Chlamydomonas reinhardtii: one gene and its partner. The protein of the gene in region 1 interacts with the protein of each later gene in a pairwise test. Links are inferred from orthologs where the notes say so. Each region holds a gene or a part of one and is shown in the gene's direction. Other genes may lie near its edges.

Region 1 (8,208 bases):
GGGGCAGAGACCGTGAGACGGGCCAGGGGGATGGGGGCGAGGAAAGTTACGAGGGCTTGCGCTCAGGGCTTGGGCTGGAGGGAGTACTAAAAAGAACTGAAGGCACAACCCTTGAAATATAAAACACGAAGAGGCTGGAGCAGCGAGCAAGAAACCCAGCGAGAAACCCGTTGAAACTGCACTCGACGACGTGTCCGCAACGGGCAAGCGCACTACCAGCCCTCCAGCCCCTACCTGTCCTTTCTCCCCGCCTCCCCCCGACGGTACTCGGCGCACCTTGTGTTGCTTCGCAGCATAAAATTCATCGTCGCTGCGCCCTGCGCTAGCTTATGACTCGGGGAAAGGTTGATGCGGAGTGCCACTGCGTTGCAGGACCCCGGATCGCGGAGCAGTATTTCCGATTTCAAGCATCAAGGCCGCTGAGAAACATTCGGGACCGAGCGCGCCGCCAGCTACGCCAGCGATCGTGCCATGCATCCACTTACCGGGTGTGAAGAAGGGCAGCTCCAGAGTTCGCGCGTATACATCTGGCCAGTTGTAAAACAGCTGTGGCTTCTCGTTAGTCGTGAAAAGCGGGTCGACAATTGTTGACGATACATCCGGACAGACTGGTAATGGCATCCTTGCCGCCCACGCGACCACCAGCGCCCCCACGAAGGCTGCCCCAAACAATAAGTCATTGTACATGATTGGTACTGAACGAAGTAGTCATTGTTGGGACTTGCTTGTACGTCTGGAACCGCTCGGGGGCGTTGTCGACGGGCATGCGTGTCCCGAATGGGGTACGAGGGCACGCTCCTGACACGCTCCACACCAACACCAGTACGCACGTGAAGCCAAGTAGCCAATCGATAGACGACATGATACTTCATAGCTTAAGACAGAGTTTTAGGTCGTTGGGCCCAAAAATCGCTTGCTCGGCACTGCCGCATGTCTGTCGCAAGGCCATTCTATTCTTGACCCAGGACCGATACCGTCAGCTATGTATAGTATGTGTAGGCTCTAGGTGCTGACTGGAAAGCAAGCGGACATTCCTAGCGCGAAAGCGAGGGCAAAATGTGTGGAAATGTCGCCCACGTGTTCCTCAGCAATTTCCAGGCCAGAGCCCACTTAAGAGTTGCTTTTGATGCTCTAAGTTCATATTGGGAGGATAAGACGCTGCGGCATCGGCATATGCCCTTCTGGGCAGGCCTGCAGGCCCCCAACAAGGCCCGCAACCTGCGGAGGGTAGGGGCTATGCCTCCAGTCATTCCCTCCCCAGCGCGCCAGTGCTTCATATTACCCATACCTGGCGTATTGCCGTATTGGGGCAGGTAGCCGCCGCGGGGGGGGGTCCGTGAGGGTAGGGGATAATGGGGCAAAATTGCGGTTGACACGCCGTGTCGTACAGTTCACAGACCACACTTGCAGGAGCTACAACCTTGCCCACGTCTTACACGGTGTGATACGGATGTGCTGCGGTTTTCAGTTCCTAAGGTATCGGTGCCATCGTGTCGATAACGTGTCAGGACCGTGACAGCATGGCAGACGCAACCTTGACTAACAGCGCCTGTGGACATGAGTTTGCTGCCACCTAACCGCAACACCGAGCGCATTTGTGCCCTGGTGCCTGACCTGACTATCCTCTCTTTTGAGCGCTCTTATGAGCGCTTCTGCTAATGCACAAGTGTTACAGGCCGCCCTCGCCCGCGGACTGTCACTGTTCAGCCGGGCATCCGCCATCCGCCGAGCCCCTCTTGCACTCGACGCGTTCCATACGATGCAAAAATGTACCTGTCCTACACCAACGGGAGTACGAGGGCTAGCGCTGAACAGATTGTCTGTAGCTCCTCACATCACGGACCTGGGCCGGACGGCATGATTTCCGCCCCCTGTTACCCTTTACCTTCTCAGATCTTCTCCTCCGTCCACTAGCCCCGCCCCCATCTTGTATCTTCCCTGGCAGCCTGGCTCTCTCGACTGCCACCTGCTCCCTCCTTCCCTCCCGCCCCTCCCGCTCCGCTTCCCCCTACCTGTCTAATTACCTGCAGCTTCCAGCCGCAAAAAAAAGGCCGCTCGTCGACAAAGCGGCCTAATCACGCCACAGCCTACAACCTAGTACAGCAAATGCATACAAGTGCACGCACTAGCTGCAATAGCTGCCGACCTGGCAAGGGGCTGGTTGCCAGGGCCCTGTGCAGCATCGCCTGCGTACCCGGGTTGCGTAACTTGCGGCGTAACTGTTGTAATTACGGTACTTGCGGGTACTTGCAGGTAGTCAAACACCTGTATGTCCGACTCCGCGGCGCCTGGACGTGGAGGGGCCCGAGGGCCCCGCTAAGTATCTAACTCCCAATACGGTGGGAATATGTTGCACAGTGCGGGACTACTCCACCCTGCCCCTTACCATGTCCCATCGCACCCTCTAACTCTGAGACCAGGAGAAGATGAAAGGCCGTGGACATGTAAAGCCCGTGTCCCTTATGGCCAAAATGGCTGTATGCGCCTCACATGGCCCCATGGAAAGGAGGAGCGCGCATCACGTGCCCGGAAACGTAGGATCGCTTAGGACTGGCCATTACCAGGGATTGATAAGCACCTGCAACTACCGTGTTGCGCCTCCGGACTCAAAAGGAGTTAGTGGGGGTTAACCGATCCCGTAAGGAAACCGTCGCGCGGCAAGGAGAACTGCAGGTGCATGAGCGAGTCCTTGTACATCACCGCAGGTAATCGGGCGGGCTTGGGCACTGTAGCGGCAGGCGGGGCCACATGGACTCTAACCCATGTAAAAGCTCATGCTCGTGCTCCTCAAGTGGGCACGGGGCAAGACAGCGCCTCCGCGTAATCGGGGTCAGCTGCGCAGCCAGGTTCTCCCAGCCTGCCAGCCTGCCGGCTTGCGCCGGCCAGCCAGCGGACACTCCGTTGTGACATACCGTAGCGCGCGACCCGGTAAACGGTAAAGCTGTAATCACCGGCGCGGGGTGGGTGTATGGGAGCAACTGGGCGTCTGAGTCGGCTGGCACGTATGCACCGCCGGCTGACGCGGGTGGTGTCCGACAGTACGAGAGCCATTAGTCCTGGTGGACATTTCCGGCCTGCTGCGAACCGTGTCCGCGAACCACAGTCTGGCGAGTGCCCCACATATGCTGCGGCAGGATGTTGCTTGTTGATAGGGAAGCTTGGCCGCTCAAGTCGGCGAAGCGTCACCGGAACTGTTTCGGGCGCCAAGCGCAGTCCGTTGGCCACTCCCACCCATACCACACCCCTGCCCATGGTGCGCTAGCCAAATGTACACTGTAGCTTACAGTTCTGTTGGAACTCCGTCTCAATAAACCTGCGCTTGGCATAGCAGCTCGCCTACAACTGCATTGTTGGCCTAGTCAGCAATGCTCAGAGTCAGAGCAATGCTGGGCAGTCCTCCCTATTTACCAATGCGCATACTAAACATCAAACTTGCTTCATGGTGACACATAATTTCTATAACTGACCGCTGGCCGCGAAGTCCAGCTCTTGGGAGGCAAGGCAGGGGCACAGAGGCCCTTTGGGCAAGGACTGCATTTTAGCTTGAGCTGTACTTCAAGAATGTTCTCATTCCTTGGTTGTTAAGGGAGCAGCCAGTATGAGTCGTGCGGAGCGGAGACAGGCTGCAGAGAAGGCTCAGAGGCTCTAAAACGTAAATGAGTTATTTTGTGCCGACCCGATTTGTATGGCGATTCGGAGGACGTCAGGTGAGCACAAGGCCTCGGCGGTCGCGGGCTCTGCGCGGGCGGGACGCAAGCTGTGACGCCGGCACGGACGGAGACCCGGTCGTTTTGTCCCGCATGCAGGTCCACCTATGTGGTTCCTTCACCCGCTGGGTCGAGACTGTACCGATGGCACCCGTGGACGGCTCTCCTGGGTTGTTTGCAGTAGTCGTGCACCTGCCTCCCGGGTGAGCATGTCGGAACGCTGTCCCTCGTAGGCTGGCCAAGCCGGGTGTCTTGCATGGCCAGGAATGAGACGATTGGCTGCCATGACTTGCAGGTATCATCAGTATAAGTTCATTGTAGACGGCAGGTGGCGGCACGACGAGACCGCCCCGTTTATGCCAGACCCGCTTGGCAACGTCAACAACTGGCTCTTTGTCCGGAGAATAGATCCTTCTCCAACACCCCTAGCAAAGTGAGGCCGGGTTGAGGGACTCGAGCGGGAATTGCGCGCCACATGCCCGCAATTCTCTTGCCGCTGGGCACCGAGCTCGGCACAAGGGAAGCAGATGCCCTTTGAAGGACGCGAGAAGCATTACATGTCACGCTGGGGGATGACGGGGGTGTATGTTGCCTTGCAAACACACAGGAACCGCTTTGCAACACGCCCAATTCAACCCTTGCCTGTGGCGCCTCGCCTCCCCCCCTTTCACCCCACGCAGCAACGTAGCCTTCGACCCGCAGCAGCTCGTAGCCGCGCAACAAGCGGCCGCGCTCCAGGTCGCACAGCAGCAGGCGGCCGCGGCACAGCAGCAGGCGGCGGCACAGCAGCTGCAACAGCTGCACCCCGCGCTTGCCAGCGCCTCCCTCGCGCCCGCACCGGGCGTGTCCGGTGGCCTGCAGGTGGGCGTGCCGGCGCAGACACTCGCCACAGGCATCGGCGTGGGCGGACTCGGCCAGCACCCGCACGTGCCGCAGCAGCCGCAGCCGCACAGCACGGCGGTGGGCCTGGGACCGTGCCTCACGCCGCAGCAGCTGCAGCACCCGGCGGCGCAGCAGTCGCAGCAGCCGGGCCAAAGCCAGCAGCACCCCGGCGGCGTCCCAGTCGGCTCGGGCCTGTCCCTGCAGCCCCCCGTGGCTGCACAGGTTGCGCCACAGCAGGGCGACGTAGACATGGGCGGGACGGAGGCGGCCGTGGTGCCGCCCATAGTGATACACAACCCCAAGGAGCCGGTGAGGGAGGCGGCGCGCGAGCAGAGGGGTGGTGGGGAGGTGGGGCAGTGGGGCGGCTGGCAGTGGCCGGCAGGCAGAGCGGGCGGGTGTAGCCTGCTGCTACGGAAGGGTGATGTGGATGGGACGCTTTGTGGGGCCGGGGCGGGGGCTCCTGGGGCCCATGCCGGCCCGCGTGCTGTTGTGTGGCGGCGTGGGGAGCTCCGGGTGGTGGCACCGGCGCTGAGCTCACCGCCCTGACTGCTGTCGGTGCCTGCAAACCCGCACTGCCGGATAGGGGTTGCGAGGGTAGGGAATGGGGGTCGGGCGAGAGGCGGCAAAGGGGGGCGCGCCGGCTAGACGGAGATATGATAGGTACAGACTGGCTGGCTGGGTCTACCGGTGCGCCATCTGCCCTTTGTGCAGGAATACACTCGCAAGAAGATTGCGGACTTCCTGCACAGCCACACCGCTTATGAGCTCATCCCGGAGAGCGGCAAGGTGGTGGTGCTGGACGTGGACCTGCCCGTACGCCAGGCTTTCCACGCGCTGCACGAGCAGGTGCGAGCGGCCTGAAGGCGTTTAGGGGCGCAGGGGCGCAGCGGTTGGCATCAATGCCGTGGGAACCGAAAGTACGAGGCATTCCAGGAATCTCCAGTGCATCAAAGGCGTGGGCAGGGGGGAGCGGTGGGGGGTTTTAGATACCAGCCCAAACTAAACCGAAGCCAAGGCAAAAGAGCGAGGAGGGGGAGTAGGAGTAGGTCGGAGTGCTGGGTGTGTGACGGGCGGCCTTGTAGGTGCCTCTGTAGGCAGTACCACGACGTCGGGGTATGCCGGGTGTGGCGGCATCTCAGGGCCGTGTGTGTACTGGCATAGAAGACAAGGCCAGGCCGGACCGCCCTGGTCGCAGGCTGGGGGCCGGGGAGCCAGAAGACACGGAAGGGGCAGGGACCGCATCAACACCCGCCACGCCCCCAGCACATGCAACTGCATCCACAGCAGCGCCTGCCCGTTGCATTTTGTCGTGGTGGTGGTGGTGTTGTGTTGTGCACAGGGCACTGCCTCGGCCCCACTATGGGACACTACCACTCGCTCCATCCCCGGCGTCATCAGCGCCTCCGATTTCATCACCATACTGCGCCGACTGCGACACAGCGTCAGCGCGGGAGCCAACCCGCTCAGCGAGGCGGAGATGGACGCGCACACCATCCGGGGGCTGCGCGAGGAGGCGGCGGCGGAGGGCCGCGAGCCCAAGGGCCTGGTGTACGTGCTGGCAGATGAGGACCTAGCCAAGGTGGGCGGGGAGGGGGGTAGAGGTGGCCGGGCGCTCATGATGGAAGGTTGGAGAGGGCGGAGGGAGGCAGGGGCGCAACGGGTGCATGTGCTGAAGGGCCGGCGCTGGGGGTGCTGGGTTGGCCTCGGGCGCCGGCTGGGAGCAGGGAGCTGGCACAGGGGGGTGGGACGCGTGTAGCGGGCGACCAGCGACGTCCCTGTGCCCCAGCCCCCGCTTGGCGCCGCGCGCCTCGCCGCTTGTTATGCGTCAGCTCGCCGCCCTTACCTGCTGCTGCTGCTGCCTGTATGGCTGCTACTGCCGCAGGTGGTGGCTCGCCTGGCGCAACACAAGTGCTCCATGGCGCCAGTGCTCAGCGGCGACCCGGGAGGACCGGAGGTGCGCACCAGGGCCATAGCCGCGTGTGTGTATGTGTGTGTGTGTGTGTGTGTGTGTGTGTGGTGTGTGTGTGTGTTAAAAAACGAAACGAAAGCCCGCCCAGACGACGCCGGAGTTACTTACGGATACCTACCAATTTACCGAGCGTCGCGTGGTTGCCGTCACCCAGGTAGTCATACTTACCCGCGATAAGCCTGTAACCCCACGGGCGACCATTCGGCCTGACCCCGCGATGCACCTGTATGCGCCCATGCTCCGCACCCTGGGCGCGCTAAACAACGTTTACCCAGCACGCGTAATTCCCGTATTCCCGCCCGCTGGTCGTAGTCGAGCTCACCTATAAGCATGGGAATGGAAAGGCATTGGGCGGCAGCACAGAAGTGTCACGGACATGTGAAATGGCAGCGGCGGAAGAGGGCGGCGTGCAGCAAGCAAGCTATCTAATGTCCTAACACGCATCCCAAAGCCCACCCACTGACTATGCCCGTGAAAGGGAACGAGTCTGGGGCCGCGCGGCTGCAAATAGCGCCCGACTGCATGGGGCGCATGGCGGGCGGCGGTTGCAGAGACGCTGGGTCGGGCTGACTCGGCTGGCAGAAAAGGGCGTGTGCCCGTCACCCCCGAACCCGCGCATAACCCGTATCCCGCATGTGTGCGCAAGTGTCAGACACAGGCTGGTGTGTGTGCGTGTGACGCCATGGGCTGGCGGGAGCTGGCCTCCCGCTCCTGTGTGTGTGTGTGTGTGTGTGTGTGTGTGTGTGTGTGTGTGTGTGTGTGTGTGTGTGTGTGTGTTAAAAAAGGAAACCAAAGCCCCCCGTGTATGCGTGTGTGTGTGTGTGTTGAAAAGCAACAGAAAAAACAAAAGCGCAAGACAGTGTATGCGATGCAGCAACGCGACGGCATACAGATGTTACTTGAAGTATCCGCGTATACCCGTTGCTGAGCCGCCACCGGGCTTACCAAAACCGGAAATTGCGCAACCCTCCGCTACCATAACCTCGAGGAGGGATTAGTGTCCACACGCTCTCAAGGGTGCACCCCATGCATGTGCTCACGGTACCGTGAGGCTCAGGCACTCCTACGATTCCTAGCTCCGCGTCGCTACTCCTGGCCGCTAAGCCCAAGCTCCCGCCTTATCCTCGATAAAATGCTCACCTGCGAGCGAATAAAAAACAACAGAGCACAGGGCGGCAGCAGGGGAGTGTCACGAACAAGAGCGAAGGCTCACGTGTGTGTGCGCGCGTGCGCGCGCGCGCGTGTGTGTTTGTGTGTGTCAAAGAGCACAAGGAAAACGTTGCGCAAAGACTGTGTATGCGATGCAGCAAAGCGACGGTTTACGGATGTTACCTGAAGTTACCTCGCATACCTGCTGCGGTGAGCCGCCGGTCTTACCAACCGGAAATCGCGCAACCCCCGCTACTCTAACCTCGAGGGGGGATTAGTGTCCACACGCTCTCAAGGGTGCAAACCCATGCATGTGCTCACGGTACCGTGAGGCCCAGGCACTCCTACGATTCCTAGCTCCGCGTCGCTACTCCTGGCCGCTAAGTCCAAGCTCCCGCCCAATCCTCGATGAAATTCTCACCTACGAGCGAATAAGAAAACAACAGAGCACAGGGCGGCAGCAGGGGAGTGTCACGAACAAGAGCGAAGGAACATGTTAGC
Region 2 (7,152 bases), on another chromosome or scaffold:
AATACGCTTCACATTTCCCTAGCCACACAAGCAGTATTCTTTCCTGGTAGTTGGGGCGTGCTGACGGAAGGAGTACGGTACTGGTGTACTTGACGGGCGGCGGGTTAATGAGTCAAATTGAAAACGTGGCCAGTTGGGTCTGTACACATCCGTAGGGTTGGGTCTGTACACATCCGTAGGATCATTCATGCCTTCGTGCCACACGCCCACCAGGCCTGCACAGCGTGCCATAGCGTCGCCTACACAATGCCACCCTCCGTATTGTAGGCTCCGGCCAAAGAGACTCGAGGCCAGCCGGGCGTTTGGGTAAGTTACTAGTACAGTATCATCAAGTACACCGGCACGCAGGAGCAAGGCTCCGCTTGTCATGCCATACCTACTAGCTTGACACGCGGCGTGTCTCTCGCACTCAGCCAACAATCCAACACGTGTTCGAAGTTGCACAGATGTCCCACATTCCATGGGCAGTGAAGCGTGGTCAGTCTTGTCGTGCTCTTGCAAGGCGCCGAAGCGTCCTGGCACATTCACGCGCACACACGGAGTTCATGGACACGTGCAGGTAGGGCAAACATGCGGGTAGCTACTACGCGCAGGTAGCAATGCGCGTCCTGCGTTCCTGATGCCATGTGAGAGATGGCAGTGCGCGTGGGCCCAAGGGAACCCTTGCGTGGGCCAACACATGCCGGAAGCGTACCTGGCCCAGGCCAATAGCCTACGTTGCACTCTTCTGCCCTCGCGGCCTTGCCCACTCGCCGTGCATCTACCCCTCACCAGCACATCAAAAGTACCACATTTGACGTCAACACTCGTACCAGTACAATTGGCGTTCTCTGCTTGTCACCTTGGAGGCTCTCAAAACTCAAAAATGCCCTGTCACACCAGGACGCCACGGACACGCCATACAACGCACCCTGCCGCTGAAAGACAGCAATCATTGAATATTCGCCAGCGGATGGTCCGGGCGGTAAGCACTCAGGACACTACGTAGCGTCGTAGCATTTCCGTATAAACCCGTTTAAGAAGCACGCAGATGCCCCAAACGCTGGTGCAAACGAAGCATCATCACCGCGCGGCGCGCCTAAGACTCTGCAACCTTTATCGTGCAATCGGTACCACACCCTTGCTTGCTGCACCTGCTGAGGCAAGCTATGTCAATACATGCAGTCACGAGCAGCACTAGCTGTGACAGCAGGCGACAAACGTAACATCACGCCAGACCATGTGGTCAATCAAAACTGCGAGAAACCTGCTAGCGATCTGCACGAACACCAATACCTTATCGCAGCTTTCTACCCTGCGTGCAGCCCTGCGGCGCTCTGCTGCGTTCCTACTGGTCGCGGCATCGCGTGGGTGTGGTGGTGATGGTGGTGGCTGTGGTGCGGCTGTTGCAGTGGTGGACTCCGAGCGGCATCAGCAGCTCCTGTTGCTGGGGGTGGCAGCTGCTGTGCGTGTGCGGCAGCAGCAGCTGCTGCAGCCCACTGGGGACCGGGCAGGCGCTAGCGGCTTGAGGCACGCCGCTGTAGGCGCTGCTGCTGCTACTTTTGCTACTGCTTCCGCAGCTGTCGCTGGGTGTGGTGCTCACGACCAGGATGTCCTCGTCTGTCCCAAACGACCGCCGCGCCGCGTCCAGCGCCGCCGCAGTCACCCGCAGGGTCTGCACTTGCGCTGCCGGGTCGCGTATGGTGTACTCCTGCATGCAAACGTCATGTTGGGAGTCTCAGAGCAAAGTGGATGTGCTCCACGATTTGGAACACGCCCGGCGTGCATAGAAATGTGCACCCCACGCATGCACGCCGCGGTGCCAGACCCGGCACCGTACCTGTGTGCCCGCGTCGAAGCCCACAAGCAGCACGTAGTGGCCCGCGTAGCCCAGCTCCATGCCGCACAGCACCGCCGGCAGGCACATGGACATGGACATGCCGCCCATGCCGCCGCTCCCTGGCTCGCCTGCCCCCAGCCACGGGTCCAGCTTGCGCTTGTCCACCAGCACGATGATAAGGCAGCCGCCCGACAGCATCCACGACTGCGCACGGCAAAGGTACACCCGTCAGAATTGGGCGTCATGTTGCGGCAACTACCAAACTATGCTTTGCCAACGGATACGTACATAATTAGCTGGAGGGCCGCCGCCGCCGCAGCGGGGGTCCGGTTGCCCTGCAGACTCTTGCCCAGCCCCCGCGCCAACCCCAGCCCCGGCGCCAGCCCCGCCCCCGCCCCAACCTCCGCCTGCACGCCCGCCCCCATCCCCGCCCGCGCCCCCGCCCCCGCCCCGCCCAACCCAATCTAGCACCGCCCATACCATCCCAATCCTTGCTCAGCCCAAGCCTAGCTCAGCCCAATCTTAACCTGCCCAGCCCAGCCCAACTCCGGCTCCATTAGGGCACACCTGCAGCTCCTCGCTGCTGACCGAGCGCTGCTCCACGGCGATGCCCACGTGCGCCGCCTCCACGAACAACTGGCTCACGCGCCGCTCGTCGTCCTGTTGTGCACAGCAGGGGAGATAGGCCAACGTCAGAGAAATTCAGCGGAGGCGGCGGAGAAGACGGCTTGAAACCGTAGCACGCGCGCCCAGCAAACTGGGCAGGCAGACTAAATCTGCCGCACTCCAGTCACGTGCAAAAAAGACATTGTCCGGGTACGCATACTGCTTACCTCCATGTTCTCCATGTAGAATGACTCGTTGGCGTACGCGGGGTTTGGCCCGAGCGTGACCGTGTAGAAGGACACGTGCAACCCAAACCGCCGTAGCAAGTGCGCAAGATCTACCGTCCAGATGCTGCATGGCAGTTGCAACAATCATTGTAAGCCTACGGCAATTGATACACGTGTGGCATAATCTGCCAAAACACACCGGTCCCGGGGCCGCAGCCCAGTCGCCCATGCTGGCAGCTCGTGGCCTTCGCACCTGGTGGTGGTGCACAGCTGCCGCAGTAATCGATAGTCACAGTGCGAGAAGCCGGCTGCTTGTATGACCATCTGAACGCACGCTAGACCACAGTCCCTGCAAGTGCAGGTAAGGTTGGAGTCGTGAAGCATAGGGCCGCGACCTCTCCCCGGTCAAATCCTTAGGAGGTACATAAGCGCGCGCCGCGCAGCATATGTCCTGCCAGTATTTGTTGCTTTGGAGGCCACTCCTACCCCTGTGACGCCGGCCAGACCACTCTCACCAGCTGAAGAACTGCTTGCAGTGTGGGACGTGGTGGTGTACAAGGGCCTGGTGCGGCCCGGCCTCCCCGCAGGCAGCGCCCGTGCCGAGCCTTGGTGCTGTGGGCGAGCACCCCGAAAGCTCGCTTCCAGAGCTTGCAGAGGCCGCTGCCGAGGCACACGATGAAGAGGAGTCCGCGGGTACAGTCAAGACGAACGGCGCCGGTGCCACTGAGCCGCTCGTCGAGCTTGGCGCGCACTGGGGACCATCCAGGCCATGGTCCCTGGCGCCAGTAACGTCAGCAGCAGGCCCAGCTACGGTCATACTCTCCGGTGGCATTAAAAGCTAGGTTCTACTTCGTCGAAAATACAATTTATGGCGAAACTGAGGTCCTACATCATTTGCCCGCGTGTCACCGAGTCGCTGCTGCAGTGAGTTGCTGTGCGCTTCCTTGCGCTTCACTGCAATAAAGTAGGAAAATTGCAGACCCAGCGTGTCACTGGGTGGAGTCGGGTTTGCAAGGGTTGCAAAGTTGTTGTGGAACAATCCAACGATTGGACCAAGGGAGTCTTCTGGCAATTTTTATTGGCCTTAAGGAATTGTAGACGAGTGTAACTCTACCAAAAGCAGGAGAAACTTGCCCCATTGAGCCGAGACTTGTCGATGGAAGGCCGAGCCTGAACCAAGACCCAACACCGAAACACTGCAATATCCCATCATACCTCTTAACACCTTTTATCCTGCGGGGGCCCCGAAGAGCGCCCGTGTCCACGTCGGCACAACTCAAGCTGCTTTAAGCGCACCGCCTGGAATTATCGTCATTGCTGTATTATCCTACTGTGCTGACTTATTAGTGTAGCGAATTGTGGAGAGCATTCGAAGCCTGGCTGGCTTGGGCCGGCTCGACCGGCTATTCCGACGTTGGGAACGCAGCCGACGCCCTTCGGGGCTGCAGACATAAGACATGGTGAGCCTGCATGTATATTCAGCAGCCCGTCGCAGCGCTGGCGCTTGATTTGGAGAGCCCCGGCACAGTCAGCTGGCACGCAAGCCGTTCTGGTCGGGTCGCAGGTCGGGTCGGTGCCGCCCCGCAGCTGCTCCTGACTGGCAGGACTATCAGCAACTTGAATGCATGCGTACTGTGTGCTACGTGAGGCCATATGGTTGTTGCAGGCCGTGCGGAGGGCGCAGTAGCGGGGCACTTTCGGACACGCCCTCTGAAGCCGGCTGCGGATGCTAGACTTGGGCAGCTCGCAAGTTGTAGGCGCCTTCATTGCGTCTCAATGCATAGAGCCCGATCCCGTTGCCGTCTCACCCATCTTCCCTATTCCAAATGTGCCATATCAGGGAAACACCACATCCCACAAGCACGAGACTCCGGGGGGCACGGAGCACGAACACTATGCGCGGCACGCGTCGCCGCCGCTTAGCCCCGGCTCGCCGTTGACCTACAGCCCGCAAATACCCATGGAGCCGATCGCGCGCGCTGATGAGCTGACAGCCGCCAACCGCAACGCACCTGAATTTCACGGGGTGGCAGGGTGGCCAGCGCAGCCAAAGCTGATGCCAGTGGTCATCGTGTGTAAGTAGCATGGGTCGTGTTCACGCGGGGCCGTGCAAACGATGGTGTACTGCCTCAGACGCCTGCTTAATTACCGTATGCGCCTAGTGTAATCAATTAAACTCTGTGTTGAGTTGATATTGCAGCAGGCTTGTCGAGTCTTTGCATGTAGAGAGTGGGGACGTGCACATGTTTTTGCTTGACACGTGTCTCTGCGTATGGAGAGCAAGGGGCAGGGGCCGACACCGTCTCCTGTGTACAATTGTGACACGCGCAGGGAGCCACGGTGGGAGCCACGTGGAGGTGGAGGGCTCGTTTGACAACTGGACGACGCGACAACCGCTACAAAAGTCCGGAAAGGACTTCACCATCATCAAGCTGCTCCCACCGGGCGTGTACCAGGTGTGGCGTGGCAATGTGGCTTGGCGGCACGACTGGGCGCGGCCACCTGGAACTGGCACCCGGCATGTCCTCTATCTAGGAGGCATGAACACGTGCAGGGCAGCGAGTAACGCGGTCGGTGGGCTACCGCGCGCACAGAAGGCGCGCACTGTGTGCTGCACCGCATGTAGTGTCCGAGCTGTAATTTCTTCCTGCTTCCCAACTTTGCCGCCCCGCAGTACAAGTTCATTGTGGACGGCGAGTGGAAGTACGACCCCAACCAGCCTGCCATGTTTGACGAGATGCGCAACGTGAACAACGTTATCGAGGTGCACGAGTACGTTCCTGAGAACCTGGAGGGAGTCAGCGGCTTTGACCCGCCGCCCTCGCCGCCGTCCAGGTGTGTGAGGTGGAATGGCGTGGCGTGGACTGTACTTGGCATGGAGTAGTAGGCTTCGTCTGCGCTGGTTTTTCCGGCCCTGTCCTGCCAGTACCCACCTTCCCATGCACTCCTTCCCGCCCTCCCCGCTGCCCTGCAGTTACAACTGCCCGACGCCGGTGGCAGACGACTATGCCAAGGAGCCGCCCGTGATGCCGCCACATCTGCAACTCACGCTGCTCAACGTGCCGCCGGCTCTGGATGCCCAGGCGGTGCTGCCGCGCCCGCAGCACGTCATCCTCAATCACGTGTACTGCCAACGGGGGCAGGTGAGGCAAAGGGATGCGTCGCTCCACACAAAACGGAAACCCCGACATAACGGCGTTCGGGTTGGGGCGTGGATACCACGATTGCATGGATATCACGCCGGCGCCTCTCGCTAACTTGGAATTGGATCCCCTTGTGCTGATGTATGGTTATCGGACGCGGTGTGTCTGCTGCTCCTGCAGAGCGTGCAGGCGCTGGTGGTGGGCACAACCAGCCGGTACAAGTCCAAGTACATCACCACTGTCATGTACAAACCCAAGGCACGGCGGCGCGTACTGGACGGAAGCATCAAGACCGACCAGTAGCGGACCCGTACGCCCCGCACGCCCCTAGCTAGTGGGAAGAAGCGGACAACGGGCTTGAGCCCTGCTTTGGGTCACGCTCAGGACATTTGTGTCGTCTGGGCGCTACAGCGGGTTGTTGCGTGCAGGTGCTATGGCCTTTGTCTTGACTGGTGTCTGGTGCTGGGGGTTACATTGAGTGCGTGCGCGGAACACACTCATAGGATTGCATGCATACGCGCTGAGTGGGTGATGGTATTGGTGGGACAAGGATGGATAATGCTACAGGTGCATTCTTGTACAGCAATGATGCAAACTCGGTGCCTTTGGCGGTCTCCACATACTCTCACGACCGTTTGATTGGCATACCATCCTGGCAAATCCGTGGCCATCGGGGTGTTTTACGGTACGATGGAGGCACAGATGGAGTTGAGTCCTTACGTGGTTTGGTACGGCTTTTGTTTCCCGTTGGGTGCGATGACCCTTGGCTGACCGGGCAGCGGCAGACGGCGGCAGTAACATGTCATCCCTTGGCCCGCATAAGCCGGACACTTGTGGGGCACACGCTGGGCTTGGGCTCGCCAGTGACCGCAATGTGCGGCAGCGGCGGCGGCACACATGTGCCGGGTTCTGCTATTTGCAAAACCATTCTACTCCTTCCGTAAACACGCGCCGTCAGGCGCGTCATCTGATGACGGGAACGCCAGTGGCAAACTTGCAATGAGCGGACGAGGATAAGTGGAAGCAGCCGCAGCCGCAAAACAAGGCGCTAGTGGCGCACGTGACAGCTTGACCCGCCGACCTCAAGCAGCAGGCGCCGCTGCGGCCAGGGGGCCGCTGCTAGAGTATCTGCTGCCTACGATGCCAGCGGCGTCATTACTGGTGGCGGCGGCAGCTTGCCGCAGCAGGCGTCGCCTCCGCCCCCGATGGAAGCGCGCGGGTGGCGCGATATCCCCGCATCGGACGAAATCAGCACGGCATTGGGGCGTTGGGTGGGCACGTCGGTGTATGTTGTGAACAGGGAGGACGGAGACTTGTGGTTTGGGGTTTTCGTGTTCGCCTGTCCCTCCCCTGTTCC

The links.
Region 2: the proteins of CHLRE_12g484350v5 (region 1) and CHLRE_10g457500v5 interact in binary tests that used the Arabidopsis thaliana proteins (3 or more experiments, as listed by UniProt). The link is inferred for Chlamydomonas reinhardtii from reciprocal best matches to the Arabidopsis thaliana genes SNF4 and AKINBETA1.

What each region holds. Positions count from the first base shown.
Region 1 is NC_057015.1:138,636-146,843, reverse strand, and holds the start of CHLRE_12g484350v5 (uncharacterized protein), read left to right. Parts: upstream 1-3,427; 5' UTR 3,428-3,656; coding exon 3,657-3,707; intron 3,708-3,806; coding exon 3,807-3,910; intron 3,911-4,002; coding exon 4,003-4,140; intron 4,141-4,387; coding exon 4,388-4,898; intron 4,899-5,300; coding exon 5,301-5,435; intron 5,436-5,928; coding exon 5,929-6,168; intron 6,169-6,471; coding exon 6,472-6,543; intron 6,544-8,208. Other genes in the region: CHLRE_12g484400v5 (uncharacterized protein), read right to left, coding at 277-361, 486-687; CHLRE_12g484375v5 (uncharacterized protein), read right to left, coding at 677-862.
Region 2 is NC_057013.1:5,295,407-5,302,558, forward strand, and holds CHLRE_10g457500v5 (uncharacterized protein), read left to right. Parts: upstream 1-3,857; 5' UTR 3,858-4,109; coding exon 4,110-4,112; intron 4,113-4,492; coding exon 4,493-4,727; intron 4,728-4,983; coding exon 4,984-5,108; intron 5,109-5,326; coding exon 5,327-5,487; intron 5,488-5,626; coding exon 5,627-5,795; intron 5,796-5,975; coding exon 5,976-6,098; 3' UTR 6,099-6,730; downstream 6,731-7,152. Other genes in the region: CHLRE_10g457450v5 (uncharacterized protein), read right to left, coding at 1,328-1,690, 1,820-2,023, 2,387-2,479, 2,653-2,776, 2,906-3,001, 3,168-3,469. UniProt on the Arabidopsis thaliana protein: Regulatory subunit of the probable trimeric SNF1-related protein kinase (SnRK) complex, which may play a role in a signal transduction cascade regulating gene expression and carbohydrate metabolism in higher plants.